Stegostoma tigrinum: one gene and its partner. The protein of the gene in region 1 purifies or fractionates together with the protein of each later gene. This does not show direct contact. Links are inferred from orthologs where the notes say so. Each region holds a gene or a part of one and is shown in the gene's direction. Other genes may lie near its edges.

What was found.
Region 2: the proteins of zinc finger protein 280D (region 1) and cbx1b purify together in Homo sapiens (affinity purification with mass spectrometry; 4 studies listed by BioGRID and IntAct, with this or other methods). This does not show direct contact. The link is inferred for Stegostoma tigrinum from reciprocal best matches to the Homo sapiens genes ZNF280D and CBX1.

Annotation. Positions count from the first base shown.
Region 1 is NC_081386.1:16,244,165-16,260,895, reverse strand, and holds the start of zinc finger protein 280D, read left to right. Parts: upstream 1-9,702; 5' UTR 9,703-9,817; intron 9,818-16,731. UniProt on the Homo sapiens protein: May function as a transcription factor.
Region 2 is NC_081384.1:3,305,547-3,321,223, reverse strand, and holds the start of cbx1b (chromobox protein homolog 1b), read left to right. Parts: upstream 1-7,227; 5' UTR 7,228-7,350; coding exon 7,351-7,354; intron 7,355-8,277; exon of another isoform or gene 8,278-8,300; intron 8,301-8,306; exon of another isoform or gene 8,307-8,436; intron 8,437-15,677. UniProt on the Homo sapiens protein: Component of heterochromatin. Recognizes and binds histone H3 tails methylated at 'Lys-9', leading to epigenetic repression. Interaction with lamin B receptor (LBR) can contribute to the association of the heterochromatin with the inner nuclear membrane.

The DNA of each region.
Region 1 (16,731 bases):
GTACTGTTGCAGTCAGGCTTCTCTGTTTTGTACCCCAACCTCCTTGAAATAACAGGGCTCCATTAGCCTTCCTGATTACCTGCTGCATCTTTGTCTAGTTTTCTGTATTTTGTGCACAATTACCCCCAAGCTCCTTTGTGTTGCAGCTTTCTTCAGTTGCTTCCAAGTTAAATGATATTAGTTTTTTTTGTTATCCATTCCAAAACAAACAATTCACATTTTTTCACATTATACTCCATTTGCCAACGTTTTGTCCACTTGCTCAACCTGTCAATATCTCTATGTAAATTGTTTTCTTCCCTGTTGCAACGTGCCTTTCCAGCTACTTTTTGTGTCACAATCACTTGTTATATGATGTGATATACCTTTAAGGTGATGTACCCTCAACGTCAGTTGATCATTATCGATGTTGACAGGATAATATGTGTTATGGAGAAGACTGATTCAACAGTGTTAGAAGTGAGATGGTCTATACTAAGCTCCTAGCTGTCATTATCTGTAAACATACATATCTACAAATAACAGAACTGTATTATTGTTTCATTAATCTTTCTGTTTGACTGCTAGATTTATATCTACACAATTATACAGTGATGCCAGCTGGCAATTTCTAAAGATGTTTTGTTTTTAAGTGCACTATCCCTAACATGTTACTGTATGAATTTGAATTTTTGATTCCGCAGAATAAAAGACTCAACCCCTTCATAACCATTGGAAGAAAATAGACAGGTGCAAAGGGAAACAACTTAAAAAATGTCTCACCAGGCTATAAGAGATTCTGAAGCTCTGCAGATACCATACACACATCACATATAATCCCTGTACTGAATCATGGAATCCCTGCAGTGCTGAAAGAGGCCATTTGACTCAATAAGTTTGCACTGACCTGCTAAAGGGCATCACACCCAGAGCCAGCTCCCTATCCTATCCCACTTTTACCATGGCCAATCCAGCTAACTTGTACATCTTTGGGCTGTGGGAGGAAGCCAGAGCACCCAGAGCACACAGACACAGGGAGAACAGGCAAACTCCATGCAGTCACCCAAGGCTGGAATCTGAACCCAGTTCATGGTGCTGTAAGGCAGCACTGTTAACCACTGAGCCACCAAAAGACTGCCTAAATTTGGGGAAGATTAAGTCGTCAGCTGTGAGTCTCAAGCAGGAACAGACTGAAATAGCAGATTGTGGAAGGACACTTCATTTTAAGTAAAGCTTGCTGACAGGAGAATTGATCTTAAATACTGCAAACTGAGCAAGGAAGAAGACCCTATCGGTTAACATTTCCGAACATGTAATGGAAGGTAATAAAAAAAAACCCTTTTTAGACTGATTCACAACTCTTTGAATCAGGCAACCCAATTTTAATATCAAAAAATTGTGGGTGAATTCAGTAAAGCCAAAGGAGCTCAACAGTGCCACCATGGTAGTCAAGTAATTGCCTATGACCAGCCAAGGCAGTGGCCGCTAAAGGCTCTGCAATTCAGGGCTCCTTAAGCCTAGAAAAGCTGGAAGAAATTTGAATGTCTGATGAAAGTTCCTGCAACCTGTACAAGGCAAGAAAATGACTACAAAGTCTCCATTACCCACTTGAAAGCAATGGATCTCCCGTCAGATTATGGGATAGGCAGATTCAATTGAGGCATTCAAAAGGGCAGTGGCTGATTATTTCAATATAAATAGTGTGCAAGGTTATGCAGAAAAGGCAGGTGACTGACACAAAGTTAACCTGCTCAGAGAGGGCTGCAGACACACCATGCCAATCAGCCTCCTTCTGCATTCATAACACTTGTGTGATTCTGAGTTTACTTTGTTGTGACAGAGTGGTGAACTATAGCTTTTGGATCTCAGAATTTCTTTACCAGTTAGACAAGACATTAAATTTAAAATTGCTGTAGGCAATGAAGTCCTCCACTGACTAAACGCATCAGGTCTGAATGATGACCATGTTAAGAATCCAGAAAACATCAGGTTACCACTCTGAGTACAAAAATTAGTGAAGCTCAGCTTTTGAATACACCATCTTTTAGGCAACAAGTACAAAGAGCTCTGAATAAGTAAGCAAATGTAGATTGCAACTTAATCCCATCAAAGTTAGCTGATAGTGTAACCAAGCTTCCAGTAGTATCTACATCAGGGAAAATGTCCTAAAAAGAAATCTTGGACAAACACAAATGTTATATGTGGGAAAAATAATGATAAAGTGGATACAAATATGAAGCCACAACAATGAGTAGTCGGCATCTCCAGGCTATGCATAATTCATCCAGTACTGGCACTGTAGTCAGTGAAGGAACATTTCTAAGTAATGAAAATGCTCAGCTTTGAACACTGTACGCAAGGCATGCAGCACCAGAGGACATTACAGCTTAAAGGCAAAGGCAGAACAAGTGGTTCAATGTCCTAAGCTATATCCAAAAGCCAGATAGGTACAGACCTCTCAGCAACCAAGCACACATCAATCAGCATAAAGGCAAGCTCCACCAAATGTCTCACTAAGCTGTTAGTCAGATTACGAGGATGACCAACATATAAATAAATTAAGTGAGCAACCGTTTAGTTTGATTTACATCAAAGAATGTATTAGCACAGTGGTACCAACAGAAGCTTTTGTTCCCATCCAAATGAGATGGTCAAAAATGAATGGTTGGCATAAACTACAGACAAAATGAGAGGCTGGTTGAGCTACAAACAACCTTCAACTTCGTACAATGAAATGTATATACCCACAGTAGTCGCAAGTGGCGATTTAGGCAATCAGCACCAAATTCGTGCATACAATGATTTGAAGGTTCCAGATCCAAGATCCATTACACTTAAGCCTTGGTTCAAAACCTCATCCTGATCAACCGGGTATTTTCTCCTGCAGATACTATAGCATGCTAGGTTATTACCATTTGTATTATCATCATGGCAACGATGAGGATCAAGACACTGGTAAGGCCACATTTGGAATACAGCATACAATTCTGGTCACCTTGCAATAGGAAGGATGTTGTTAAACTGGAAAGGGTACAGAAAGGACTTACAAGGATGTTACCAGGATAGGCTGGATTTATTTCCTTGGAGCAGGGAGGCTAAGAGGTGACCTTATAGAGGATTATCAAATCATGAGGGGCACAGAAAAGGTGAACAGCAAAGGTCTTTTTCGAAGGGTAGGGGAGTCCAAAATTAGAGGCCATTCGTTTAAGGTGAGCGGGGAGAGATTTAAAAAGGACCTGAGGGGCAACCTTTTCACAGAGAGGGTGGTTCGTGTATGGAATGAGCTGCCAGAGGGAATGGTATTAGTGGGTACAGTGATAACATTTAAAAAACAGGTGGGCATTTGGACAGGTACATGAACAGGAAAGGTTTGCAGAAAAATGAGCCAATTGCAGGCCAATGGGACTAGTTCAGTTTTAGAATACCTGGTCAGCCGGAACAGGTTGGGCCAAAGATTCTGTTTCCATGCTGTATGGCTCTATGATTCTACAGTCGACATTATTTAGGAGAAGGTGTCCTAATTCTGCAACACAGGTCATCAGCCAACATGCTACACAACGCTGTTTGGACCAGCATTTCTTGCCCATACTTAATTGCCCTTGAGAAGGTAGTAATCAACCAAAACATATACTCCTTGCTTTTGTTTGTTCCTTACAAATATATTGGCAAGGTGTCGAATATATTAAACATTGATCTGGGATGTAACTGGAAAGGAAACCGATTGTGCATTAAAACTAATTTTCTTGTAGTTGTTCGCAATATGAAGAATACAGTGAAATTGAAAGTGACCTAAAAAGTAAATAAGAAAACACCAAAGGCTTTGAGGTTATCTACTGTAGCCCAGATGCATAATTATGTTGACAATGGACTTGAAAATAAAATAAATATTTATAAATACATATAGTGTTAATATTGAAGTGAACAAGATGATTTCACAACGGTAGACAAAACAATATGAAATCATTCATCTCGTTGAGCAACTAATAAATTAGAACTAATGATGAACTCAAAAACTTTTCAGCTGTTCCACTTTTAGGCGATGGAATCACATTCTGAGAAATTTTAAACAGTTTTGTCCTGGAAAAATAATGACCCATGTGATCCAATTAATGCATCGTACTTTATTTTGATCGTTGCAGATGGAAATAAGCAACCAAGGCTCAAAGATCTCAAATTTTGAAACAATATGTGATAAAATGTGCCTCTGAAAGAGGTTAATGTGTAGTTTCATGTGCAGAGCGTTGTTTTATATTACCAGATAACCATGGTGTGGAAAACCAATGTCTGTTTCAGGAAATAGGGATGATCTGACATTTACAACAAGATTGCCGTTATAATTAAAAATGTTATTAACCATGTGAAATTTATTTTCAACTGACATAAGCCAACTAGGAATTTGTGATAAATATGTTTTCATTTTTTTCATTTATTCATGGAATGTGGGTGTTGCTGGCTTGCCTGCATTTAATGCCCATCCCTAGATGCCCTTGAGAAGATGGTAGTAAGCTGTCTTCTTGAGCCATTGAAGTCCACACACTGTAGGTTGAACCACAATGATTTTTAAGGAGTATTTCCAGCATTTTGATCGAGTGACAGTAAAGGAATGGTGATATGCTTCCAAGTCAGGATGGTGGAATGGAGGGGAAGTTGCAGGTGACGGTGTTCCCAATGTATTTGCTGCCCTTGGCCTTCTAGATGGAGGCCGTCATGGGTTTGGAGAGTGCTGTGTAAGAATCTTTGGTGCATTTCTACCGTGCCTCATGTAGATAGTACACATTGCTGCTGAGTGCTGGGGTGGAGGGAGAGGATGTTTGTCGATGTGGTACCAATCAAGTGGGCTGCTTTATTTGAGATGATTGTCACACTCTTGAATGTTGTTAGAGTTGCATCCATCCAGGCCAGCGGGGAGTATTCCATCATACTGCTGACTTGTGTCTTGTAGATGGTGGACAGGCTTTGGGGGATTGGAAGATGAGTTACTTGTCACAGTATTCCTAGCCTCTGACCTGCTGTTGTAGCCATTGTGTTTATGTGGCAAGTCCAGTTGAGTTTCTGGTTAATGGTAACCTCCAGGATGTTGATAGTGAGGAACTCAGTGACTGTAGCACCATTGAACGTCGACGGCTGGTGATTACATTGTCTCTTTTGCTTCTACTCATTCATGGATGAGGGCATCACTGGCTGGGTCAGCATTTATTGCCCACCACTTAAGGCCCAGAGGACAGTGAAGAGACAACTACATTGCTGTATCTCTGCGGTCAGATGTAGGCCAGAATTGGTAAGTATGGCAGAATTCCTTCATTAAAGGACATGAGTGATGGGTTTTCCCCAACATTTAGACAATCCATCTCTTTGGAAGGGTCATTGCTTGGCATTTGTATGACGTGACTGTTACTTGCCACTTGTCAGCCCACGTCTGGATATTGACCAGACTTTGTTGCATTTGAACATGGACTGCTTCAGTATCTGAGGAGTCACCAATGGTCCTGAACATTGTGCAATCATTGGCAAACATCCCCACTTCTGACCTTATGATGGAGGCATTGTCATTGGTGGAGCAGCTGAAGATGGTTGGGCCAAGGGCATTACCCTGAGGAAGTCCTGGAGCTGAAATTATTGACCTTCAACAACCACAACCATCTTTCTGTGTGCCAGGTATGACTCCAACCAGTGGAGAATTTGCCCCCTGATATCCATTGAGTCCAGTTTTGCTAGGGCACCTTGATGCTGCACCTAGTCAAGAGCAGTCTTGAGGTCAAGGGCTGTCAGTCACATCTCACCTCTGGAATCCACTCTTTTGTCCATGTTTGAACCAAGGTGGTTTTGTGGTCAGGAGCTGAGTGGCCCTGGTGGAACCCAAACTGTGCATCACAAGCAAATTATTGCAGAGCAGGTTATTGCTTAATAGCACTGTTGAACATAGAACATAGAACAGTACAGCACAGAACAGGCCCTTCAGCCCACGATGTTGTGCTGACCATTGATCCTCATGTATGCACCCTCAAATTTCTGTGACCGTATGCATGTCCAGCAGTCTCTTAAATGACCCCAATGACCTTGCTTCCACAACTGCTGCTGGCAACACATTCCATGCTCTCACAACTCTCTGCGTAAAGAACCCGCCTCTGACATCCCCTCTATACTTTCCTCCAACCAGCTTAAAACTATGACCCCTCGTGTTAGCCTTTTCTGCCCTGGGAAGTAGTCTCTGGCTATCAACTCTATCTATGCCTCTCATTATCTTGTATACCTCAATTAGGTCCCCTCTCCTCCTCTTTTTCTCCAATGAAAAAAGTCCGAGCTCAGTCAACCTCTCTTCATAAGATAAGCCCTCCAGTCCAGGCAGCATCCTGGTAAACCTCCTCTGAACCCTCTCCAAAGCATCCACATCTTTCCTAAAATAGGGCGACCAGAACTGGACGCAGTATTCCAAGTGCGGTCTAACCAAAGTTTTATAGAGCTGCAACAAGATCTCACGACTCTTAAACTCAATCCCCCTGTTAATGAAAGCCAAAACACCATATGCTTTCTTAACAACCCTGTCCACTTGGGTGGCCATTTTAAGGGATCTATGTATCTGCACACCAAGATCCCTCTGTTCCTCCACGCTGCCAAGAATCCTATCCTTAATCCTGTACTCAGCTTTCAAATTCGACCTTCCAAAATGCATCACCTCGCATTTATCCAGGTTGAACTCCATCTGCCACCTCTCGGCCCATCTCTGCATCCTGTCAATGTCCCACTGCAGCCTACAACAGCCCTCTACACTGTCAACGACACCTCCAACCTTTGTGTCGTCTGCAAACTTGCTGATCCATCCTTCAATCCCCTCATCCAAGTCATTAATAAAAATTACAAACAGTAGAGGCCCAAGGACAGAGCCCTGTGGAACACCACTCACCACTGACTTCCAGGCAGAATATTTTCCTTCTACACCACTCGCTGTCTTCTGTTGGCCAGCCAATTCTGTATCCAGACAGCTAAGTTCCCCTGTATCCCATTCCTGCTGACCTTCTGAATGAGCCTACCATGGGGAACCTTGAGGATGCCATCCACTTTTGTTGAACAGAATGCATTGAAATGTTTTGTGAAAAGATCAGTATATGTGATCATGACATAAATACACATTTCACCTACAGTTCCTTGTTAAGGCAATGGTGTAGTTCTCCAAAATAGAGGGAGTGGGAGGATACAACTGTGCAATAAGGAAAAATCATAGAAAATATGAGTTAAGATCTCAGAAATTTTTGTGGGCGGAAGTTATTTTTGTTTCAACTTTTCTGTTTCTATTGATTTGTCAGTGACAAATACGCTTAATTTCCCCATACCCAGTGCAGCTCCAGTGTGTAACTGTGGATCCAATGCACAGCAGCGGCCCCAAATTCCCAGCTCATCCATGCTTAACTGCAGCCCAGCTCCGAGCTGCTGCTCTAATTCTCAGATGTTAAAAAGATTAATTCATGGGATATTGGCTTTGCTGGCTGGGCCAGCGTTTATTGGTTACCTGTGTTTTCCCTTGAGAAGTTGGTGGTGACCTGCCTCTTGAATTGTTGCAGTCCATTTGGCGTAAGTGCTTTTTCAGAGGAAGTTTCAGTATTTAGATCAAGCCACACTGAAAGGATGGTTATATTCTTCCAAGTCAGGACGGTGAGTGGAGGGAAAATGCGGGTACTGGTATTCCCATTTATCGGTTGCTCTTATCCTTCTAGTTGGTAGTATTTATGGATTCGGAAGGTGCTGTCTAAGTGGCTTTGATGAATTTGTGCATTGCATCTTCTAGTCTGTATACATGACTGCTTCTGAGCACTGACAGTGGCAGGAATGAATGTTTTTGGAAAAAGTGCCAATCAAGTGGGTTGCTTTGTCTTGGATGGTGTCAAGCTTCTTAGTCGTGTTGGGGCAGCACTTATCCAAGCAAGTGGACAGTATTCTACCATATCCTTGACTTGTAGATGGTGTACAGGCTTTAGGGAATCAGGAAGTGGGTTCCTTGCCACAGTATTCCTTGCTTCTGACCTGCTTTCGTCACCACAATATTTATGTGCAGAGTCCAGTTGAGTTTCTGCTCAGTGGTAACCCCAAAGATTTTGATGGCAAGGAATTCAGTGAAAGTAATGTCATTGAAAGTCAAAGGGTAATGGTTAGATTCTCTCTTGTGGGATATGGTCATTGCCTCGTTCTTAGATCCACAGTCTTGTTACATCCTGTAATGAATGAAGGAGGCTTCACAAATATCCCCATCCTTAATGACTGGGAACCCAACACATCCGCACAAATGATAAGGCAGTAACCTTTGTCCAGAAGTGCTGAATGAATGATCCAGCTTGGCCTCTCCAGAAGTCTCCAGCATGGCAGATGCCAGCCTTCAGCCAGCTCATGTAAAAACTCAGTCATTAAAGATGGGGATATTTGTGAAGCCTCCGCTAAGACTTAGCTCTGATCTGTTGGTTGTGGGATTGCTGAGCTCTGTCTACCACTTGCTGCTTGGCACTTGCTGTAGACTTGTTTTGTAGCTTCACTATGTTGACACCTCATTTTTAGTCAGGCTTGGTGCTGCTCTTGGAATGTCTTTCTGCATTTTCCACTGAACCAGGGTTCATTCCCTGACTTCATGGTGATGGTAGAACAGTGAAATATGTCAGGCAATAAGGTTGCAGATTGTGTTGGAGGACAATTCTGGTGCTGCTGGTACACTATGCCACATAGATGCCCAATATTAAATTGCTAAATCTGTTCTTAGCCCGGTGACTGTATCACATAACACAATGCAGTGTATTCTTAATGTAACGACATTGCTTCTATCTTCACAAAGATGGTCATGGGCATGTCAGCTGCAGCTCAGCATGAAGGAGCTTAGCGTAGTGCTGCAGCTAGGCATGGGAACAATGCTGGGTTTTGGGGAGCTTGGAAAAGGGCTGCTGCTGCGTTACGAAGAAAGGTACATAGGATGTAGTTAGGCATTAGGCCAGACATCATCCTTGTCCAGCCGTATGCTCAGCTCCCCGATGCCCAGCTGTGGTCACAAACCCGAAGCTCAATTTCCTCATGCTGGCTGGAACTCTACATCCAACTCTTGTCATGCCCAGCTGCAGGCACAAGCCCCGCTCTCTTGTGCTGGACTGTTGCCCCATGTCTAGCTCCTCCATACCCGGCTACAACCTCATACCCAGCTGCAGCTGCCATGCTCAGCTCTCTCATGCCTAGCTGCACCCCCATGCCCAGCTGCAGCTGACATGCTCAGCTCTCTCATGAATAGCTGCACCCCCATGCCCAGCTGCAATGCCCAGCTCTCTCATGCCTAGCTGCACCCCCATGCCCAGCTCTCTCATGCCTAGCTGCACCCCATGCCCAGCTCTCTCATGCCTAGCTGAACCCCATGCCAAGCTGCAATGCTCAGCTCTCTCATGCCTAGCTGCACCCCATGCCCAGCTCTCTCATGAATAGCTGCACCCCCATGCCCAGCTGCAATGCTCAGCTCTCTCATGCCTAGCTGCACCCCATGCCCAGCTCTCTCATGCCTAGCTGAACCCCATGCCTAGCTGCACCGCTCAGGTCTCTCATGCCTAGCTGCACCGCTCAGGTCTCTCATGCCGAACTGCACCCCCATGCCTTGCTGCAATGTTCAGCTCTCTCATGCCCAACTGCACCCGCATGTCCAGGTGCAGCCCCGTGCACAGCAGCAGGGTCTTCGCGCGCCAGGTCTGCCTGTTACCCATGATGCTTCGGGGACGTCCCCATTGCGCAGCTGCGGCAGCAGCAGCGGCAAAAAATATCATAATAATCTTGGCGGATGGCCGGCGTTAAGAAATTGCGCGTTTAGGCCGCAGAGAAGCAGGCGGTGAGTCACTCTTTCTGACGGGTATTGATTAGGGAGGTTCAGTACCGTGCGGGGATAGCCTCGGGCCCGCAGCGGCCTGTGGGAGTTGGCTGGGTAGGTCGGGGCCTGCCGAGCGGGCGGCCTGACCACCAGCGCCATGTTTGCTGTTGTCGCTTCGCATAGAAGAACGGGACGGACGGCGAGATTCAAGGCGAGGCCTCTGGGCGGGCCGACCACTTATTAATTAGCACTTCATTCGCCTTATTGTGCCATCTGTCACGTCGTGATCCCCTCCCCGAGACTTTTTTTTTCCCCCGATCACAGGCAGTTCGGATGGATTTTTCGTTGTTGTGGCGAAGATTATTTATCAGAAGCTGCCCGCTGCCAGCAGAAAATAAAAGGGCAAAGAAAGAGCTCGGGGATGGGTGATTCGAGATCTGTCCCCCGCTCTTTACAGGCGCCTGTAGCGTTCCAGGCGACCAGCAGCTGTTTCCTAACATCGGTAGCTCTTTAAAAAGATACACGCACACGCTTTACTCAACAGCTTACCACAACCTAATGCAACTTACATGATACAAAAGAAGCAACACACGTGCGTTTATTCCTTTTTTGACAGTTACGTCGTGTTCTTTCACGTAGTGTATTTCCAAAATTTGAAGGCTAAGACTTTAGAATAAAAAAAAGTGGCAGATGGTCACTTCCACTGCATACAATTTCTCCTTAAAATGTCAAATGTTCACTTACATTGCATGAAACTTTATTTGATTACTGATTTGAATATTGTTGCCTTTATTTTGTAACTTTTTTTATAAAAATGTTGACCCCTGAACCAAGGTTTCAGTCTGTACACTTCACTCAAACAACTCTCTGAATTTACTGTAGTACCTCGGTTTGAGGCATTTTCATGCTTTTCTTTCTGTAAGTTGCATGCGTTTTGGAGGATTAAAATCACTCGCATTTGCTTTCGTATTACATTATTTAAACTGGCATTAACCCTAAAAAGATTTCTGAAGAAGGGTCTAGGCCCAAAACGTTAGCTTCCCTCGTCCTCTGATGCTGCTTGGCCTGCTGTATTCATCCAGTTCATCTCATATTAATCCTTAAAAGTTTTTTTTATTGCTTAAAGTTAAAAAAATTGCTAAAAGCAGGTAGCACTTTTTTTTACAAAAGGTATGTAGTGCTCCTGTATTTATGCTGAAATAAGTGCTAAGCGTTTGAGTTAGTTCTTAAGATATTTATTTTAGGACTAGGACTATAATTTCATTCATAATTTGTTCTGAACAATGTGTAGATTTATAATTTTCCAAAAGTACTATAGTTGAGAGGAGGTTACAGGTTGTGATAATCCAGTACCCGAATTGTTGACAACACGGGTTCAGGAAAATCTTCGCACTGAATCAAGAGCTGAATTTATGGTGCGATGTCAGATATTGTTTATAGTCAGTCAATTCCTTTTGATCTTACAGAAGATATAAGTTTTTGTTCTTTGGACAATAGTGTGACGAGACACTACAAAATGTACCCATATTTTGGGATAATTTTATTGAAAATTGGCCACAGTATTGATTTTTTTTTGAAGAGCATGATTACAGATGCAGTGTTTGACTGAGGTGCTTTTCAGACTTTCATTTTAAAATTCCTTCTGGGAGTTGAATGTTGCTGGAAAACTCGGTGCTTTCTTGCCATTCCTATGAAGTCACGAATGTCATTTGTGAAGCACTTCATGGTTTTCTAAGATTTTGACCCGGTGAAGTGACCGAAAATTGAAGGTGACATCTAAAGTTTTTAACAAGGTTTTGTAGCTTGGCTTGTAGTTCAGTGGTAGACTTGTGCGTCAAGCTGGTATGTTTGATTGCAGATGTTTCGTCACCTTGCTAGGCTACATTGTCAGTGCACCTCTGGTGACATCATTCCAAATCAGGATGGTGTGTGACTTGTCAGCAGTGGTGTTCTTGTGTTGAGTTGCCCCTGTTGTTGTAAATTGTGGAGACTGAGAGTTTCACAACTGTTGTTGGAGGAACTTCGGTGAGTTGTTGCTTTTTATGAATGATGTGCACTGCTGCCAATGTATGGTGGTGTTTTGAGGGATTGCATGTTTAAAGTGGCATATGTGCTGATGAAGCAGGCTTTAAAGTTTGTTGAGAAGATTTGAGCCGAACACCGTGGCTCGGTGAGCAAGTCTGCAACCTGATGAAGCAGACTGCTTTGTCCTTGTTGGTGTTGAGCTTCTTGAGTATTGTGTTAGAAAGACAAATCTATATTTAAACATTCTGAAGGAAGCTGGAAGGTATAAAATCATTTGGACCCCTTTTTTGGCTTGAATTAAATATGTTTTTTTGGGCAATTATGTTCAGCAGTATGAGGCCTAAGACCTACCTGCAAATTATGGAAGTGAAATTTTTAATGTGTGCTACAAACCACTTGCAGTTTTTCTGGAAATCAAATGGTTTTCAAGAAGCAACCAAGGTAAGGTAGGAAATTAAGAAATGAATATGGTATCGTTGGGGGAACGAAACTGGCTTTGAGGACTCGGGGACCTATACTAATAGATGCCTAACAATGTTCTGTGGTTTGAAAATTCTGATTCACAGTCCTAGCAGTCAGTGATTTGTGAAGACACCCCAGAAGTCCTGCTTTGAGAAGTCTTTGCTGATAAATGCATAGAGTTTCTAAATACTAGTATTTCTGTCTCTGTAATGAAGCCTGAGGTAGTAGACTGTAATCCCATTCTCAACAGCTCTAATCCCAGTTGATTGGAACAGACCTGGGCATTTATCAATTGACAGCTGTGTTCAAAGGAAATTCAGTGGACGTAACAAGTTATTGTATTTTATCCTTTGTTACCAGACTTTGGTCTAAGGGAGTTGTTGTTTCCCTCTTTCATCTCTGTAGACACCTACCTGTCTTTTTGTGTTGTGTGAATGTGTCTACATGTATGGCATTAAGGGGATATAGTTTTAATACCAGCTGAAAGTTTAAATGTTGGTCAGTACTTGCCACTTGCTTTATTCATTCATACTAATTGGCTGTTTTCATGATTCATTCAAGAACTAGGTAACAGTGCAGAAGTGGGGAATTGGCCATTTTGGCAAGTAATTTAACATACACACCATTAGTGTTAGTGTTTGAGTATTGCTCCTATTACAGTCATTAATGCTGAAATGGCACTCATTGAGACAATTGAGAACAACATAAGAACATGCCTGCTCTGCCTTTGAAAAGAACATGGCTGATCTTTTCGCAGACTCAGCTCCACTTGCCTGCCTGCTCACCATAACCCTTAATTCCTTTACTTTTCAAAGACATCCAAGAGAGAGTTTATCTCTTTGCTGCCTTATGGATGTTTGTTAGGCTTTGGGGAGTCAAAAAATGAGTTTCTGTCTGCAGAATTCCCAGCTTCTGATGACTCCTGTGTTTATAAAGCATGAATCATGATTAGCTGAATCAAAAATGTACTTGTATTGCAGATGAGTGGTAAAATTTGAAGCAGAAGTAGAGATGAATGACTCCTCCTTTTAAGCAACTTGTTCAGAGATGTTGTGACACACATCTGGAGCAGATGGGACTTCAAACTGGGCCTCCTGCTGTGCCGCAAGGACTGGGATAAATGACAAGAAACGAAAAAGAATCAATATCACCTATCTAAGATATTTCCACCAACCAGGATATGAATGAACTCACTTGTGTAAGCAGCTGATCTGCCAAAATTAGATGGCAGTTCTGTTTTTTAGGAAGAAAAATCGAATTTACTTTAAAATCCTCAATACAGCCTGACAGAAGGCTGACAATTAATCTGGCCCTGGTTGAATAGACAAATTTCTGTTCTTATTGTTATTAGTCAGAGTCATACAGCACAGGAATAGGCTCTTCAGTCCAACTTGTGCATGCTGACCACGTCTCAAACTAAATTAGTGCCATTTGCATGTATTTGGTCTATATCCTTCAAAACCTTTCCTATTCATGTACCCGTACAAATGTCTTCTAAATGTAACTGTACCTGCATCTACCATTCCTCTGGCAGATCATTTCACATTCAAACCACCCTCTGTGTGAAAAGGTTGCCCCTCAGATCCCTTGTAAATCTTTCTCCTTTTACCTTAAACCTATGCCTTCTAGTTTTGAACTCTTCTTTCCCCCACCATAGGGGGGAAAAAGACATTGGTATTCATCTTATCTATAACCCTCATGATTTAATAAATCTCATGTTCCAGTGGAAAAAGTCCCGTCCTATTGGGTCTCTTTTAACTCAAACTTACCTGTTCTGGTAACATCCTCGTGAATCTTTTCTTCACCCTCTCCGATTTAATATCCTTCCCCCAGCCGGGCAACCAAAATTGTACACAATACTTCTAATTTGGCTTCGTGAGATCTTGTGTAACTGCAACATGACGTCTCAGCTCTTATAGTCAATGATCTGAATAATGAAGGCAAATGTGCCAAACACCTGTTTCTTTACCACCCTGTCTACCTGTGACACAAATTCAAGGAACTCTCCCTGAACCCCTAGGCCTCTGTTTGAGAACATTCCCAGTGCTCTACAATTAACTGTGCAAGTCCTGCCCTTGTTCGTCTCACCAAAATGTAACGTGTTACATTTATTTAAATTAAACTCCATCTGCCACTCCTTGGTCTGTTAGCCCAATTGATCAAGACCCCTCTGTAATCTTAATTTTGGTGTGATTTGCAAACTTAGTAACCGTGCTTCCTAATTTCTCATGCGTATTGTTTATATGAAAGGCAAACAGTGGTGGACCCTGCACCAATCCCTATGAAACACTGCTGATCACAGGCTACCTGTCAGAAAAACAGCCCTCCACCACCACTTTTGCTGTCCTCCTGTCAAGTCAGTTTTGTTTCCAATTGGCAAATTCTCCCTGAATCCCATGTGATCTAACTTTACTAACCAGTCTACCATGCGGAACCTCATCAAAGGCCTTACTAAAGTTCATGTCAACAATATCTACCACTCTGCCTCATCTCACTTTAAAACTCAGACAAGTTTGTGAGACTTGATTTCCCACACACATGCAATGCTGACGGTCCGTAATCAGTCCTTGTCTCTCCAAATGCAAGTAAGTTCTCTCCAATAACTCACCCACCATTGACGTCAGACTCACTGGCCTAGTTTCCTAGGTTTTTCCCTTGCAGCCTTTCTTAAATAACAGCACAACATTCGCCACACTTCAGTCTTCTAGCATCTCACCCATGGCTGTAGATGATAAAAATATCTTGTCCAACATCCCACAATGTCCTGGGATACACTTGAGTAAGTCCTGGAGATTATCTCCCTTCATGCCTTTTAAGGTCTCCAGCACGTTTTTGTAATGTGGATTGTTTTCATGACATCAGTATTTATTTCCCCAAGTTCTCTAGCTTCCATGTTTTTTCCATGGTAAATAGACAAGTAATTCTAAGTCCTTTTGTGTTGTAGCTTTCTGCAATTTTTCTCTATTCAAATCCTATTCTGTTCTTTTGATCTTCCATCCAAAACATAGTAGTTCATATTTTCCCACACTATTTGCTAAGTTTTTGCCCACTTGCTAAACTGATCAGTATCTCTCTGTAAACTGTTTGTGTCCTTCCCATTGCCTATTTCAGCTATTTTTGTGTCATGTGTAAATTTGGCTGTAGTGTTGGTGGTCAAAATAGAACATTAACTGTGGTGAAAATCTCATGTTTGTGTTCAGAATTGCTCAGTGATTCATTTCAAATTAGGAAAGGCTGTTGAACTGCCTTTAAAGCTATTGTCTTCTATTGAGAAACCTAGAAATTTCAGCTTTTTCCCAAATGATTTACATATTCTGTCTTCAATTCAAATTTAAATCAATTTAAATAATTGGTGAAATTTACAAATCTTAGAATTGTCAAAATGAGATCATTGTATTAAATTTTGCCAAGATCAGTTTTCATGTGTTTCTAATATATGGTTGTTATAGAAATACATTAGACAAGTATGGTGAAACTAGTTTGCATTAACAATTTACATTGAGGTCCGAGGTCAACGTTGTATCTACTTTCAGTTTCGTATTTCCTGACCTAGAGTACATTTTGTACCAGTATCATTGCAGAATGTCTCACGGAAAGTCAAGAATAGTCAGTTGTAGAAAGTGATTGGAGTTTGATGAAAAATTGAACACTGTGTATGTTGATTTATAACCATGTATATATTAAGGGCATGCACACTGTCCCACTGGCTTTTAAGTGCTACCCCACCCCCGCTAAATTTTCTTATTTGTAATGGAGATTTTCAAATATTCTTTATTTTCATCTTCAGCTAATTTTTGCTGTACAATGGGAATAACCTGGATCAAGAACATTTTCTTCTGGCTATTTGATTTCATTTGCTGTAGAATCGCCCATTTTTAAGGTTTAAGTATTCACAGCTGTCTTGCAACATAAGCAAATGTCTGCCAAATGAAAAAGGAGGTCAGGGTGCTCATCCTCCTGACTTTTGTCCGAGGGAACATCTTTATGACAAAAAGTCAAGAAGAAGGTACTGACAGGTCCTTTAACGCCTCTGAATGCTTGATGTTGTCCTGAAATGATTTGGAATGGGCAGGAAAGCAGAATACGTCAATGATAACATTGGAGAAATGATGTTCAGGTGCCGGTGTTAGATTGAGGTGGACAGAGTCAGAAGTCACGTGACACCAGGTTATAGTCCAACTGGTTGGGTGACAATGGGGTTATACTCTGAAAACCTGCAATTTCCAGAAAACCTGCAATTTCCAATAAACCTGGGCAACTATAACCTGGTGTCATGTGACTTCTAACATCAGAGAAAGATGTGAATTAAGTGGGATATTGCTTTTCTTGCACTTTTGCCTCCGTTTCCTTGTCTCCCAGTTAAGATGTTATCTTTTCAGGGCCTCCTGAGTTGGGGCAAAAGAGTCATAATGGACTTGTAACATTAACTCTGTTTCTCTCTCCATATA
Region 2 (15,677 bases), on another chromosome or scaffold:
GCAAGCCCTGCTCAAAAGACTGGAGATTACATATACAGCAGGACTCTGTAAATCCTGTTCTCACTCCCAGCAGCTAAACCGGCATTGTAGGATGACAGGTTAAAGATGGGGCAACAATGTAATTACATCAATTCTCAGAACTATGCTCCCATTATAAAAACCATTCAAGCAAGATTGGTGGGTCAGACATACACAGTAACATTGATTTTCCAACCTGCACTTCCTGTGAGCATGGCTTTCAGTTGCAAGCCAGTGGGTGGGCCTCTTTTGTAGTCCAGCTCCTTCAGCAACTTCTCCCAAACAGCTCCCTTTACATTAGCATTCACTATGTAAATGGGTCAAAAAAATGAAACTGTTAGTTTACCATTTTCAAGATATTTTTGTTCAAACTGTGAAAACATATGGCTGTTCACATTGCATCTGCACGCTTGAGCCTGTTTTTTTCAACCGTCGGCATCACCTGATAGCTTCAGGTGCAGAAACACTGATAGTGCTGGAAGATTAACTCCTTCCTCACAGGGACCAGGCCACAGGAAAACTATTTCCGCAAACCTCTAAACTGTATAGAATAGACAGTCATAGATTAGAGGACTATTTACCAACTAAAAACTTGCTATTTATCAGAAATGTGTCCAGTAAAGACAGAGTAAGGCAGAAAATCCCCGGTTTTCTGTGCAGTCTGAGATGGCTGATTTCAGGTTAAAGAGATGATTAGTCAGAATACAAAGAACAGCAGAGAATGATGATACAGTTAATCAGGACAAACTAAAGCGTAAGAGAAAGCCAGAAATATAAAAACAGGCAGTTTCTAAAGGCACATGAAAAAAAATGAAGTGAGTGTTGGTCCTCCATAGGGCAAGAATAGAGAGTTAATTGTGGATAATAAAGAAATGATTGATGTAGTGAATAAATATTTTGATTCTGTCTTCACTAAACAGGATACAAAAATAATCCCAGTAATAACTATAAATCAGGTGGTTGGAGGAAGAGACGAACTTCACGAAATCATAATCATTAGGGAGACTGTATTGACCAAAACAGGTGGAGTTGCAGGTTGATAAGTCTCCAGATCCAGGTGGATGGCATCTTTGAACATAGAACATGGAACACTACAGCGCAGTACAGGCCCTTCGACTCTTGATGTTGCAACGACCTGTGAAACCAATCTGAAGCCCATCTAACCTGCACTATTCCATTATCATCCATATGTTTATCCAATGACCATTTAAATGCCCTTAAACTTGGCGAGTCTATTACTGTTGCAGGCAGGGCATTCCACGCCCTTACTACTCTGAGTAAGGAACCTACCTCTGACATCTGACCTATATCTATAACCCCACAATTTAAAGCTATGTCCCTTCGTGCTAGCCATCTCCATACAAGGAAAAAGGCTCTCACTATCTAATCCTCTGATCATCCTGTGTGTCTCTATTAGGTCACCTCTTAACCTTTTTCTCTCTAACGAAAACAGCTTCAAGTCCCTCAGCCTTTCCTCATAAGACCTTCCCTCCAGACCAGGCAACATCCTGGTAAATCTCTGCACCCTTTCCAATTCTTCCACGTCCTTCCAATAATGCAGCGACCAGAACTGTACACAATACTCCAAGTGTGGCCACACCACAGTTTTGTACAGCTGCAACATGGCCTCATGGCTCTGAAACTCAATCCCTCTACCAATAAAACCTAACACACCATACGACTTCTTAACAACCCTATCTATCTGGGTGGCAACGTTCAGGGAACTATGCACATAGACACCCTCAAGGAGGTGACTAATGACATAACAGATGTGTTGGTATTAATTTTCCAAACTCCATTAAATTCTGGAAGGTTCCATTAGACTGGGGAGTAGTAAATATAAGTGATAATGGGAACTGCAGATGCTGGAGAATCCAAGATAATAAAATGTGAGGCTGGATGAACACAGCAGGCCAAGCAGCATCTCAGGAGCACAAAAGCTGACATTTCGGGCCTAGACCCTTCATCAGAGAGGGGGATGAGGTGAGGGTTCTGGAATAAATAGGGAGCGAGGGGGAAGCGGACCGAAGATGGAGAGAAAAGAGGATAGATGGAGAGGACAGTATAGGTGGGGAGGTAGGGAGGGGATAGGTCAGTCCAGGAAAGACGGACAGGTCAAGGAGGTGGGATGAGGTTGGTACGTAGGAGATGGAGGTGCGGCGGGAGGAAGGGATGGGTGAGAGGAAGAACAGCTTAGGGAGACAGAGACAGGCTGGGCTGGTTTCGGGATGCAGTGGGTGGAGGGGAAGAGCTGGGTTGGTTGTGTGGTGCAGTGGGGGGAGGGGACGAACTGGGCTGGTTTTGGGATGCCGTGGGGGAAGGGGAGATTTTGAAGCTGGTGAAGTCCACATTGATACCATTGGGCTGCAGGGTTCCCAAGCGGAATATGAGTTGCTGTTCCTGCAACCTTTGGGTGGCATCATTGTGGCACTGCAGGAGGCCCATGATGGACATGTCATCTAAAGAATGAGAGGGGGAGTGGAAATGGTTTGCGACTGGGAGGTGCAGTTGTTTATTGCGAACCGAGCGGAGGTGTTCTGCAAAGCGGTCCCCAAGCCTCCGCTTGGTTTCCCCAATGTAGAGGAAGCCACACCGGGTACAATGGATACAGTATACCACATTGGCAGATGTGCAGGTGAACCTCTGCTTAATATGGAAAGTCATCTTGGGGCCTGGGATAGGGGTGAGGGAGGAGGTGTGGGGGCAAGTGTAACATTTCCTGCGATTGCAGGGAAAGGTGCCGGGTGTGGTGGGGTTGGAGGGCAGTGTGGAGCGAACAAGGGAGTCACGGAGAGAGTGGTCTCTCCAGAAAGCAGACAAGGGTGGGGATGGAAAAATGTCTTGGGTGGTGGGGTCGGATTGTAGATGGCGGAAGTGTCGGAGGATGATGCGTTGTGTCTGGAGGTTGGTGGGGTGGTGTGTGAGAACGGGGGCGGGGTGTGAGGGTTGTGTTGCGGGAAATGCGGGAGACGCGGTTCCCTTATTTGGATAAGCTCATGAGTAGGAAAGGTTTGGAGGGATATCGGCCAAGGGTTGGCAGTGGGACTAGCTCGCTTTGGGAACATGGTCAGACCAAAGGGTCTGTTTCTGTACTGTATGACTCTAAGAAGGGAGGGAGGCATAAACAAGATACTTTGGGCCAGTTATTTGACTTGTGTTGTGGAAAAATTTTAGAATTGATCATTAAAGACATTATAACTGGGCACTGGGAAAAATCCAAGATGACCTGAAAGAGTTAGCATGGCTTTGTGAAAAGGAAATTGTATATAATCTACTTATTGGGGTTCTTTGATGTCATATGACCTGTGGATAAAGAGGTGTACATTGATATATTGTACATTGATTTCCAGAAGGCATTTAACAAGGTTCCACGTAAAATGATATCATGGAAAATAGGAATTCATGGTGTAGGGAGTAACATATTTGCACGGATAGATAGTTGGCTAACTGGCAAAAAATGAAGAGTATGCATAAATAGATCTGTTTCAGTTTGGCAGCACGTCACAAGTAGGGACCCACGGAGGTCTGTGCTGGGCAGATCACATTTTACAATTTATATCACTGACACAGATGAAGGGATTCAAGGCACAGTGGCTAAGTTTGCAGGTAACACAAAGAAAAGTAGATTTTATTTGTGAAGATGATATATCAAGGATGGAGGTCGATACCATAGATTAGGTGAGTGGACAGAAAGTTGACCAATGGAACATAAAGTGGAATTCAGCTCCAGGAGCGGGGGGAAGCAGAATAGTTGAAAATTTTTAAAGTGGAGGTGATAGGTTCTTATTACGCAGGGGAATCAAAGTTATTGGGGGCAGATGACAGGGGTGAAAGAATTAAAAAGGACCTAAGATGCAACTTTTTCACACAGAGGTGGGTGTGTGTATGGATGGAATGAGCTGCCAGAGGTGGTGGTGGAGGCTGTTACAATCATGCTTAAAACAAATCTAGTTCAGCACATGAACAGAAAGGGTTGACAGGGATATGAGCCAAATGCTGGCAAATGGGACTAGATCAGTTTAGGATATCTGATCAGTGCAGATGAATTGGATTGAAGGGTCTGCTTCCATGGTGTATAACTCTATGATTCTACAAGGAATTTGGAACATAAATTGATCAGCTATGATTTTACCGAATGGCAGAGCAAACTTGAAGAGTTGAATGGCCTACTTCTCCTCCAGATTCATATGTTTGTATGAATGTTAGATGGGGCACGTACGGAGAAGAGTTCATTTGTGATGTGCCTTGCCCCACCTCAATCCCCGTCTCAGCGTAATCAAACAGCTACTGTCATAATCACGCGAGGGTATTAGCACTTCAAAGGGAAACTGAATATGACTGGAGTCTAAGGCGCTGCATTGCACCAAAATGTGAATTATTTCATAAGATGGGAGGGTGGCAATGGACAGTTACTTTTCAGACTGGAGGCCACAAGAATCGGTGCTGGGTCCACTGCTTTTTGTCATTTTATATAAATGATTTGGATGTGAACACAGGAGGTATGATCAGTAAGTTTGCAGATGACACCAAATTGGAGGTGGAATGGATGGCCAAGAAGATTACCTCAGAGTACACGGAACCTCGATCAGATGACCAGTGGGCCGAGGAGTTTAATTTAAATAAATGTGAGGTGCCACATTTTGTAAAGGCAAATTAGGGCAAGACTTATACACTTAGTAGTTAGGTCCTGGGGCGTGTTGATGAACAAAGAGACCTTGGCACGCAGGTCTGTAGTTCGTTGAAAGTGGAGTCGCAGTTAGATTGGACAGTGAAGGCTGCATTTGGTACGCTTGCTTTTATTGGTCAATGAATTGAGTAGAGGAGTTGGGAGGTCATGTTGTGCCTGTACACAACATTGATTAGGCCACTATTGAAAAATTGCATGCAAATCTGGTCTCCTTGCTATAGGAAAGCTGTTGTGAAACTTGAAAGGGTTCAGAAAAGATTTACAAGGATGTCAGGGTTGGAGTGTTTGAGTTATCGGGGGAGGCTGAACAGGCTGGGGCTATTTTCCCTGAAGTGTCAGAGGCTGAGGGGGTGGCCTTATGCAGGTTTATAAAATCATGAGGGGCATGGTTTGAGTAAGTAGGCCAGGTCTTTTCCCCAGGGAAGACCAAAACGAGAGGACACAGGTTTAAGGTGAGAGGGAAAGGATTTAAAAGGAACCTAACGGGCAACTTTTTTCACACAGAGGATAGTGCGTGTGTGGAATGAGCTGCTAGAGGAAGTGGTGGAACTGGTACAATTACAACATTTAAAAGGCATCTGGATGTGTATATGAAGAGGAAGGATTTAGATGGATATGGGCCAAATGGGACTAGATTTATACAAGATATCTGGTCGACATGGACCAGTTGGACCGGATGGTCTGTTTCTGTGCTGTACAATTCTGTGGTTCTAGCTATGAGAAATGAATTATTGAAATTAGAATACTATCTTTAACCCTGGGACTTCTGTTCAAATCAGATTTTCTCTATTGGCTGTCTTAATAATTGACAATCAGTCTCAAACTCGTGACAATCAGCATCATACACACTGAATCCAAAACTAGCATTCAGCTTGGTAAAAATAAGAACATAAGAAATAGACACTGGCCTTTCATTTACATCCTTAGTGATCCCCTTGCTGAAAATAAGACCTACATTTGGCCAACAACAGTGACATGGATTTACACCAGAAAACACTAGCAATCATCATTTCAGAAGATCTCACCCACCACTGCCATTACAAAGTTGACTCAGATTGTTTGGTTGTTTGCTTCAGCTGACCAAGCAGTCGATACGGGTCAGATCTCTACCAACAGCATTTGATTCAAACCCTCTTCTGACTGAGCTGAGTTCAGGACCCTTTTGGAGCCATGGTGGAGATCAGAGTTTTGTGAATGAAACTTGCCTTTGGGCAGAAAATTGAAGTAGCCAAGAACAAGAGTGTCTTTTGTTTGATGATACTGGCCTAACTTAGTGCCTTCTTCCAAGTTGGTTTTAAAAAGGCCAGATCAACTTCAGCAATTCAAGAAAGCAGCTCAGCATCGCCATCTCAAGAGCAGTTGGGTTATGTAATAAATATTTGCCCAGATAGTAACATTCACATTTCATTTCAGTATCAAGGCCCATGCCCTTGAGCTGACCAGACCAGCATGTTTCATAATTACTTAATGTTGATGCAACTTTAAAATGGGGAAGCTAACAAAAGTTGCAACTTTAACAGATTTAACATGGTAAAACAATCCAAGCTACTTCACAAGAGCATCAATCAGGCACAATGTGACACCAAACTCCAAAAGGAAATACTGACACAAGTGACTAAAAGCTCAGCCAAACATATAGCTTTTCAGAAGGATGTTAAAGGAGGCAACAGAGGTGGACAGGTTTAAAGAGGAAATTTCAGAAGTGGTGGTTACAGCTGAAAACATAGGTTCCAACTGTAGAGTGATGAAAATCAGGGGTACTCAAAAGGAAAGAATTTGAGGTGCCTAAGACATCTCAGACCTGGGGGAAGTGAGAGAAATTGACAAGGGGAAAGGTCACTGGAAGATTTAGAAATAAGAATTTCAAAATCGAAGTGTTGCAGGACCAGGCAACAATGTAGCCGAGCGAGGTCCGAGCAGCAGGGTTATGGTTGAGCTTGAATTTTGATGGAGTAGAAGACATATTATAATCTCTGATGAAGGGTCTAGGCCCGAAACGTGAGCATTCCTGCTCCTGAGATGCTGCTTGGCCTGCTGCGTTCATCCAGTTCCACACCTTGTTATCTCGGATTCTCCAGCATCTGCAGTTCCCATTATCACATATTATAATCAACCTGGTCAGAGGTGTTAACCTCTGGAACAGGAGGGATTTGAACCTAGGGCTCCTAATTTCGGGATAGGCGCACTTCCACCGCATCACGACAGCACCTCTGAGTGGAAGACGAGGTAGCCAGGATAGCACTGGAATAGTCCATGGTTTAAAATGATTGCTTCTGGTGATTTCTGTGATCCTAACAGTCTGCAGTCACCACCTCTGGCCGAACCTCCCCCTGAGTTTATCAGGTCAAAATAAATAGGTAGCAGTAACACAATCACTTGAAGCCGGGGCCAAGGCGCAGCAGTTAATAATCAGCCGTAGGTTTCTTTTCGTTGAAAAACCAACAGGCCCCGTTTAATCGCCGTGGATTTACCTCAGGACGGTTGTGACCGAGTGCAGCAGCATCTTTTCCCCCCACTCCCCGCCAACCCCACAAACCGCCGCCCACCCACAAGCCCCGGGTCCGCCTCCTCCCGAGCTCCGGCTACTCGCCCCATCCCGCAGATTGGTTCCGACTCCCCGGCACGCCACCATCTTTAGCGGCAACATGGGTAAAGCATTTCCACTCTTTTATTTATTTTTTTTAAAAAATCTTTAAAACAAAACCGAAGAAAGGGGGTCGGTATCCCGCTGCTTCTTGTCCGTTCGCCCTTTGTAATTTTTGGTCAGCGGCGCAGGGGTGGTGAAGGTGAAGGGTTGTTGTTTGTATGGTGTTTAAGTTGGGGGGGGAGGTGGTATGTGAGGGGAGGGCGGCCTCGGGCTTTATTGTGTCTCGGGGTTTTTTGTGCCGATCCCTGGGCCTAGGCCGCGGCCTGACCATTCAAAAGCATCTCCTTTCCTCAATCGAAGTTATCCTCGTCGCCAAGGACTTGATTTTATTTTTTTTTGAAATGCCGCGTCAATTTCTTTTCATTTGCGAGAAAAAGGGTGTCATTTTAAAAAAACATGAACTTGCTTTGATTAGTGCGCGTGCGCCATGCGGGATCATAGAGGAATGTTTTAACGCTGAGAATTGTATTTACTTTATGCAGAGGATTTTAAATGCACGTTCACAGTCGTGTTTCTACGAAGAACTTGCACTTTTGGGGGGAAAACGAAGCACATTTTTTCACCGAAATCCAATGTTTGGTCCCTGTCCCGGGTACATTTGTGCCGCGCGCGGTTTGTAGTCCGGCGGTGGCGGCGCCTCACTGCGCATGGGCGGGCGCTCCGAGCCACTGAAAAGAAGACGAAAATCTGCTCCTTTCGAAGCGGGGAGGCTACCCTCTCCCCAGGCAGGAGCGGGGAGGATATGCGACGGGAATGTGGCCGACGCCCTCCCTTCTTTAGCCCCGGAGTAGCGGGTTTTGAAGGCCCCCATGAAGGCGGGAAGCAGGGCCGGCGTGGACTACAACTCCCAGCAACCCCCACCACTGGGCGCCATGTTGGAATTTCCCGCGCCTGCGCACTGGCGGCGCTCGGTCACCGTGGCGGGTTGTGAAGAAGCCTTTTGTTTGTGTGTGTTTCTTTTACATTTTTACCAAAACAGCTTGTGTATTTTTGCAAGATTTGTTTTCTTAGATTATAGTAATCGTGGGATTTGAAGACGGTTTAAAATACTAGTATTACCGTCGGCCGCTCCTTTTTATAAAAGGTACGGGTTTGCATTTTAAACGTTCCCTTTTTAAAGTTGCAAACACCACCTGCAGCTTAACGGCGACTCGTTGCATTAATTTGAAAATATTTTTTCCCACTTCACTGAATCCTCCTTCATTCCCCGCCCAATTTGAAGGCGTCAGTTGGGTTTCGGTGGGTGGCATTTGGCCTCTAAAGTCAGAAGATGGTGGGTTCAAGCCCCACCGCAGAGACTTGAGCGCACAATCTAGGCCAACGCTGTGTGGTGCTGTACTGAGGGGGTGCTGCACTGCCAGACGTGCCATCATTTCGGTGGGACGCTAAATGGAGTGATGCTGTGGGATGTTAAAGATCCCGCGTCCACTCGTTCAGAAGATCAGGACACCGTGTCCTGACCGTTATTCCCGCCCCCCCTTACTAACAACGCAGGAGCCAAATGAGGGTTATCTAAATGGATAATTGTTAATCTGAGAGAAACATACTTCAGATGTTAAACCTGTAAGAATCTCAAAATGCTGGAAGTGCTTAACAGATCTAGCATTATCCACTGAGAGAGAAACAATGAATGATTCTAGTCGATGAAGGAGTTTATTTATTGCGGAGAGATTAACTGATCATGTCACGTTGCTATTTGTTGTGGTGACTTCCTTTAACAACTGGACAGCAGCATTCATTCAATAATTTGCTCTGCTGTGAATCGTGTTTTATTTTGTGCACGTTTTGACCCACACAGTGCAGGAGAAGGAAGAGAGTTTCTTCCTTGGCGCTATCTTGTCAGCCAGATCTTTGGCAGAGGTTTAGCAGATGGTTCTCTTCAACTGGTGCCAAATTATACCATGCCTTTCACAAACTCAGATCATCATGCAGCTCTTTTCAACCAAGAAGTAGTTTTGAAATATAGTCACTGCTTAATGATGTGGGAAGTGTAGCAACCAGTTTAGACACAGAAACCTCTCAAACAATAATGTGGAAGTGGTCAGGTCTTTAATAATTTCAAACAAAATGTTGAAGAAACTCAAGACTGGCAGCATCTGTAGAGATATAATCAATTAATATTTGAAGCTTGGTATGACTCCTTCAGAACATATTTTTAGTGATATTTGTTGAAGGGTAAGAGATGGAGACACCAGGGAGAACTCTGCTGTTTTTCAGAGTTGCTGTGGATATTTTGCATTCATCTAAGAAGGCAGATGGCACTTAAGGTCTTATCAGATGTTAGATATTTTGGATAGTACAAGACAGGTCAGCCTGGATGTGGGGGAATTAGAATCCACTATCTTCTAACGCCAAGGTGAAAATGCTGCCACTGAGACAAAACTGACACTTTAATCAAAGCCTCCGGTGACAATTTTTCAGAATAACCAGTTGTTGATCTGAATGAGGTTATGCACCCGTTACTGTACTTCATCTTGTTTAAGAGGTATACTCATGAAGTTGTTGCCAGGATACAGTGAAATTTGCCAGGCAATAATAGTACTGTGAAACTGGCTGTGATGCAGCATAGGATCTCATTGAAACCACTATTTTGGTCGGTACTGACTCTGAGTCTGTTGCACTAATTGGTACTCTGCAATAAAAATTGCCTTAAAATAAAATGACACCCAGAAATACTAAATCTATATATCTTCTTAAAAAATCCTTTGACAGAAGAGGAGGCGAGGAGAATGTGAGCTGATTCTTAATGAGCAATCTCTGCAGAGCAGCAGGGCTTAGAGAAGCTGCTTTTCCATTGCTGCTGTTTTAATTCTAATTCCAGCCAGGAGATCTGGTTTCTGAGCTTGTTTCTAAGGTTGTGTTAACACCTGGTTCATATTCCAGTAACAGATTTAGTGTCTCATGAGTTCACAATCAGTACATAATGCTGTCAAGAATTAGTGTACAGTTTAGTGCAAATATTGGTCAATAGTGTAAATGAACGTTTTTGAATATGGACCTGTCAGACAAGTTATAATGGTGTTGGAAGCAAAGGTTTATTAAAACCACTAGTTTGTGATGAAAGGAATCTAGTCATATGGGCCTAGCCAGGTTACATCCTGACAGTTTTTTTTGTTGGGGAATGGCAGTGTCATTTGGTTCCAGTCAACTGTGACTCGAATAATTTTGCCTTAAAGTCCCACCGTTGCTTACAAGAATTTTTCTTACTTGTGATACAGGATTAAATTTCATAGGTTTCATTTTGTGAATAGGCACTTTGACCTCCAAGCTGCCTCCCTGCTCCTGTAGCCCAGCAGCAGCAAGCTGTGAACAGTTAAAACTGGGCTGTGGATTGTAACTTGCTGCCAGCAAGCCTGCTTGTAAGCTTGACCGCAGGTCTGACATGGCAAGACACCCAATGTGTTGCCATGTGGGTTGCAAACATTTGTACTCGGACATGCAATCTCAACTGACTGCAGCTCCTCACGGCCCTAATCATCATCTCCCTGTTTGCATCAATATGGCTTTTTAACCAATTCCTCTTTGATAAAGGTCTACATCAAGCAAAACTACATGTTTTAGACTAGTTTTCCAAAAATGTTCTAAATAGGTGATTAGGTAATCCAGACTGTTGGCTACACATACTGGGACTGTAAATATTCACATTTCATAATGAAGAACTTGTTTAGGGGAAGGGGTTTACAATGTAAAATATAGAACATGAAGCTTGTTGCTGTCTAGAATTAGGAGGGAATTAATTTCTTATGCAAGATGATACTGAAACCCCTGCATTGATGATGGACATAATTTTCAAAGTCCTCTTATGAAAGTCAGCTTCAGAGGAATCATTTCAGTGTGTGTATATATATGTGTGTGTAATACACATATATAATATGTACTATATATAAAATGTATTTATTTAAAAAAGCTTAGCCCTTCTGGATGGTTTTATTTTCAGTGTTCAGTATAATTCTTCATGATTAGTTGGTGTTGATCTTATTTTATGGTTTTGACTTATGTGACGTATGGCCATTTCAATGAAAATTATTAAAATATTCTACATAAATATACTTCTTGTATTGCAACAGAGATTACATAAAAGGTATTTAATTGTCTGCAGTGGGACTTTTGGAAGTCCTGTGTTTGTGAAAAGCACTGTCTATAAATTTGTGGTTGCTGCGCCATTCCTCATACTTAATCAGTTCCCTGACTCTTCTGAAATCTTCAGCTTACACGTTCGCCGTTCATAAGATCTAACTTTCTGTCAATCCATTAGTTTGGGAATAAACATTTGAGATTGGGTGATTGTCCTGGGTGTGTAAGGGGAGGAGCAATAAGAATTGATTATGCTCTCATCGCTGTTCATGAATGGAGCCTGGAGAATGGGAATATCTCATTGTTCGTTTGTTAAACCATTCTTGGGACATGGGGTGCTCACTGACAAAGCTGTACTTAATTCCACATCCCTACTCTCTAATAAGCAGTTTGATACAATTGAAATAAATGTTTTTGTTTGTATATCACCCTTCCTGACTGCAGGATGCCCCAAAATACAACATTACTAATGAGATTATACTGCTCTGAAGTGTAGTTATGCCATATTGTAGGAAACATCATAGCCAAATCTGTGTGAAGTAAGATCCCTTAAGCAGTAACGTGCTGATGACCAGCAACTTTATTTTAGTGATACCGACTGAGTGAGAAATCGTGGGCAGGCCACTGAGAAAAATGCTTTTGCTCTTCTTTGATATGGCACCACAGGATCCTTTGTGCCTGCCTGGGAGGGCAGACCATGGCTTCATTTTACAAATGTGAAATATTCTCCATATCGCAGAAGTGTCACAGTAATGCACTGAAGTGGCAGCATGGATTATAGGCTCAGTCTCTTGTGTGGGACTTTAACCCACAACCTTCTAATTAGTAGGTATTTGAACCAATGATGACCTTGCCTTCTTTCAGTGAGGTGGAGTTGGCACATGATATCTGAAACAATTTTATGCATGGAGTGATTCCTGCGGTCTTGCAAACACAAACATAGGCTAAGATTTAAATTAATAAGCGATCTTTTATTTAGTACAACACTGGTCATCAAACCACATCATGTTAAGTGAGGATGAAAAAAACACACAGGAAATGCATAATAAGTTAAGATATCTGAAAGCTAAAGGGAGCAGACAGCAGGCCAGGTGCAGTCCGTCTCCACACAGCGTCATGGAGCTAGAACACAGTGAACATGGAAGGTTGCCAAGAGGCATAAGGCCAGTGGAGTTATGTTTTTTGAGGCAGTCTGTTGCAAAGTCTTTTTATGAATAGTTCTGAACAAAAAATTCCTGCAGTACTTTTTAAATGTAATTTTTTTTCTGATAGTTATTAAAGCAATTTTGAAACAGCAAAATGTGCCATATAATTTCTTTATAAGCAACAGAAACTTGATGAATTTTACCAACCATTTTCAAGAAATTGAACCTCCTTCAGGAACAGCTAAAGAAGTAGAAAAAAGTTGAATTTTCTATATGTTCAGAAACTATGAACAGCAGAGGATCAAAGATTTGGAAATCATTAGACAGGCATGGAAAACAGTCAAAGCAACTAATAGAATGTTGGCCTTTTGCTCAAATGATGTTCCAGTTATGTAGTATCTGACAAAGGCTCTGTTTAGTGTCGTTGTTCATTTCTGACACTGCACCTCAGGAAACAATATACTGAACGCAGAGGTGGTGCATTAATTTAATGATGAGGTGGTGTTAAATACATTCAGTCTGTATTCCCTTGAGTTAGAAGATTGATCTGATCAGGTGTTTAAATGTTAAAAGGTTCCAATATGGAGAAATCTTCCTCTGGTGGTGAAACAAAACAGAGTGTAATTGTGTGGGGCAGTGTAAAAACCCACCTGATTCATCAACTTTCTGGAAGGTTGGAAATCTGCTATCCTTATCCAGTCTGACCTCTGTGATTCTGGCTCACAACAATGTGGGTGACTCTGCAATGGCTTAGCAAGCCATTCGGCTGTATCAATCCATTACAATCCCCCCTGCAAAAGGGATGAAACCAGATGGACAGCCTGGCATCACCAGGCTATCAGGGATGCTTTCACTAGGTCAAAATGCTGGAACTCATCCCTGTATCACATGTGCTACACTGGTTCGAGGAGGGGGCTCATCACCATTGAGGTGGCCAATAAATGTTTGCTTAGCCAGCGATGTCACGCCCGATTGAATGAATAAATAATTAAAGTCACAGGATGGTGATAATTTGGAACACTGTGTTAACAGGCTTTAGGTACTTGAGAACAAGTGGTGTGGGTGGTATTGATGGATTGAGTTTGTGGGTAAGTGATTTGTAGAAGACTGATGAAAACAGACTGGTTGAATGGCATCCTGTAATTGCATCTGTCCATATGAGCATCATTTTCTTCCTTCCTACAACTGTTCACTACATAGATTTATGATCCAGATGCTGCTTCAAGAGAATGTGGGATGTAGGTGCAATCTGATTTCTGTGTTGCTTGCAGCTTTCCTCCTTGTTGGGAGGGATAGGATAGGGCCACAAGTACCGATTTTGTTAGTCGATTTTTCAGCAAACAGTTGAGATCCCTTTGCAACCACCCGACACTGTCCAACAAAGAGCATCATTTGGTTGTTGATGAAGCCCACATGTTGCAATTGCTTCTTTTTCCTCAGGTTTTCTCAGCATCACATTCACTATCCTTCTCAAAGGAGCAGAGTACAACATAAACTCTGGATTTGGACAACTGTTTTCTAGATCAGTCTGCATGGTGGCTTAGTGGTTAGCACTGCTGCCTCACAGCGCCAGGGACCCGGGTTCAATTCTAGCCTTGGGCGACTGTGTGTGTGGAGTTTGCGCATTCTCCCCATGTCTGCGTGGGTTTCCTCCGGGTGCTCCGGTTTCCTCCCATAGTCCAAAGATGTGCAGGCTAGGTGGATTGGCCATGCTAAATTTCCCATAATGTTCAGGGGTGAGTGGGTTATAGGGGGATAGGTCTGGGTGGGATTCTTCAAGGGGCAGTGTGGACTTGTTGGGCGAAGGGCCTGTTTCCACACTGTAGGGAATCTAATCTAAAATACTGAGACTTTGCTTTGCAATAATCACAGTTCTGATTTGAAGCCCTTAGAGTACTTACATCCAAGCTAACCACAGTTGACAGGGTTTTTTTTCCCTGTCTCCAGTGGTTTCGGTACGTGAAATGTGGAGCTCAGTGCTTCCATTACTGTGCTCAAACTCCCTATCACCTACCAGCCAGTTTCACTGACTTACCCAAGAAGATATCCAATTTTATTATTCTTTTCATAGGTGATTTTCCGCTAATAAAGATCTGCCTTTTTCAGAACCCACAGCTATCTGTCCTTTGTATAATGCCAGGCATCTGGTTTATGGAGTGTACAATACAAAAGTCTGCTCATTTTGTCACAAGCCAATTCAAGCCTTGGACTGATCCACCTTGCAGCAAATTGCTACATAAGTAGAATACAGTATTAACTCCGGAATGCAAATAACTTGGAATTTTATAGTAAACCCAGCCTAGTAATGGAGTGAGTATCGACACTGTCCTTCACTATTGTGTGGGACTTCCATAACGAAAACCTCTTGATCCTAAAAATAGGAGGGAATCTCCAGCAAAATAGTGACAGCAGAAATAGTTGCACAAACACTCATACGAAGATTAGTCATTTAAAGTACTGTGTCTCCAGTGTTGTACAAGGGAATTCCCCTGTCCTTTCTATTTTGCCTGGAGCTTATGGTTTCACTTCATGCAGCCAAAAAACTCCACAATTTCTTTATTTGTAAATTAAATATTTGACTCCAACCCTCTTCCCTTTGAAACATAAGTAGGTTTTATGAACTTTTTATTCCAAAGTGAATGAGATTGCCCTTCATAACAGCTGAGAAACTGATGGATAGGGAGAAGAAACGGAATTTGCTAGACAAGAAGAATCAACTGAGGGTTGGGATGTTGACTGGTTCCAATGATAGGTTGAAAATATAGTTTACTTTTAAACGCAGCGTCACATTTTGTTTAAGCCCTGCCGATTTGATGTCAACAGTTCTCTGGTCAATATGCAAACAAGGCTGTTGTACACATTCAGTTCAGTCATTACCACGGCTCTGGCTGATGTTGGAATTCTGCTCAACAGAAGGATTGCAACTTTACTTTGTCCTTTGTTTGGAAATTGGGGTTTTAAAGAGGGTGATCATTTTTGTTTTAAATTGCACGATTGTCAACCTCTGTCACATCCCTGTCCATGATCTTTTAACTCTTTATATCCCACCTCCCCCATACTATTACATGTGTACAATCACTTGTACCTGTATAATTCATAATGCAGC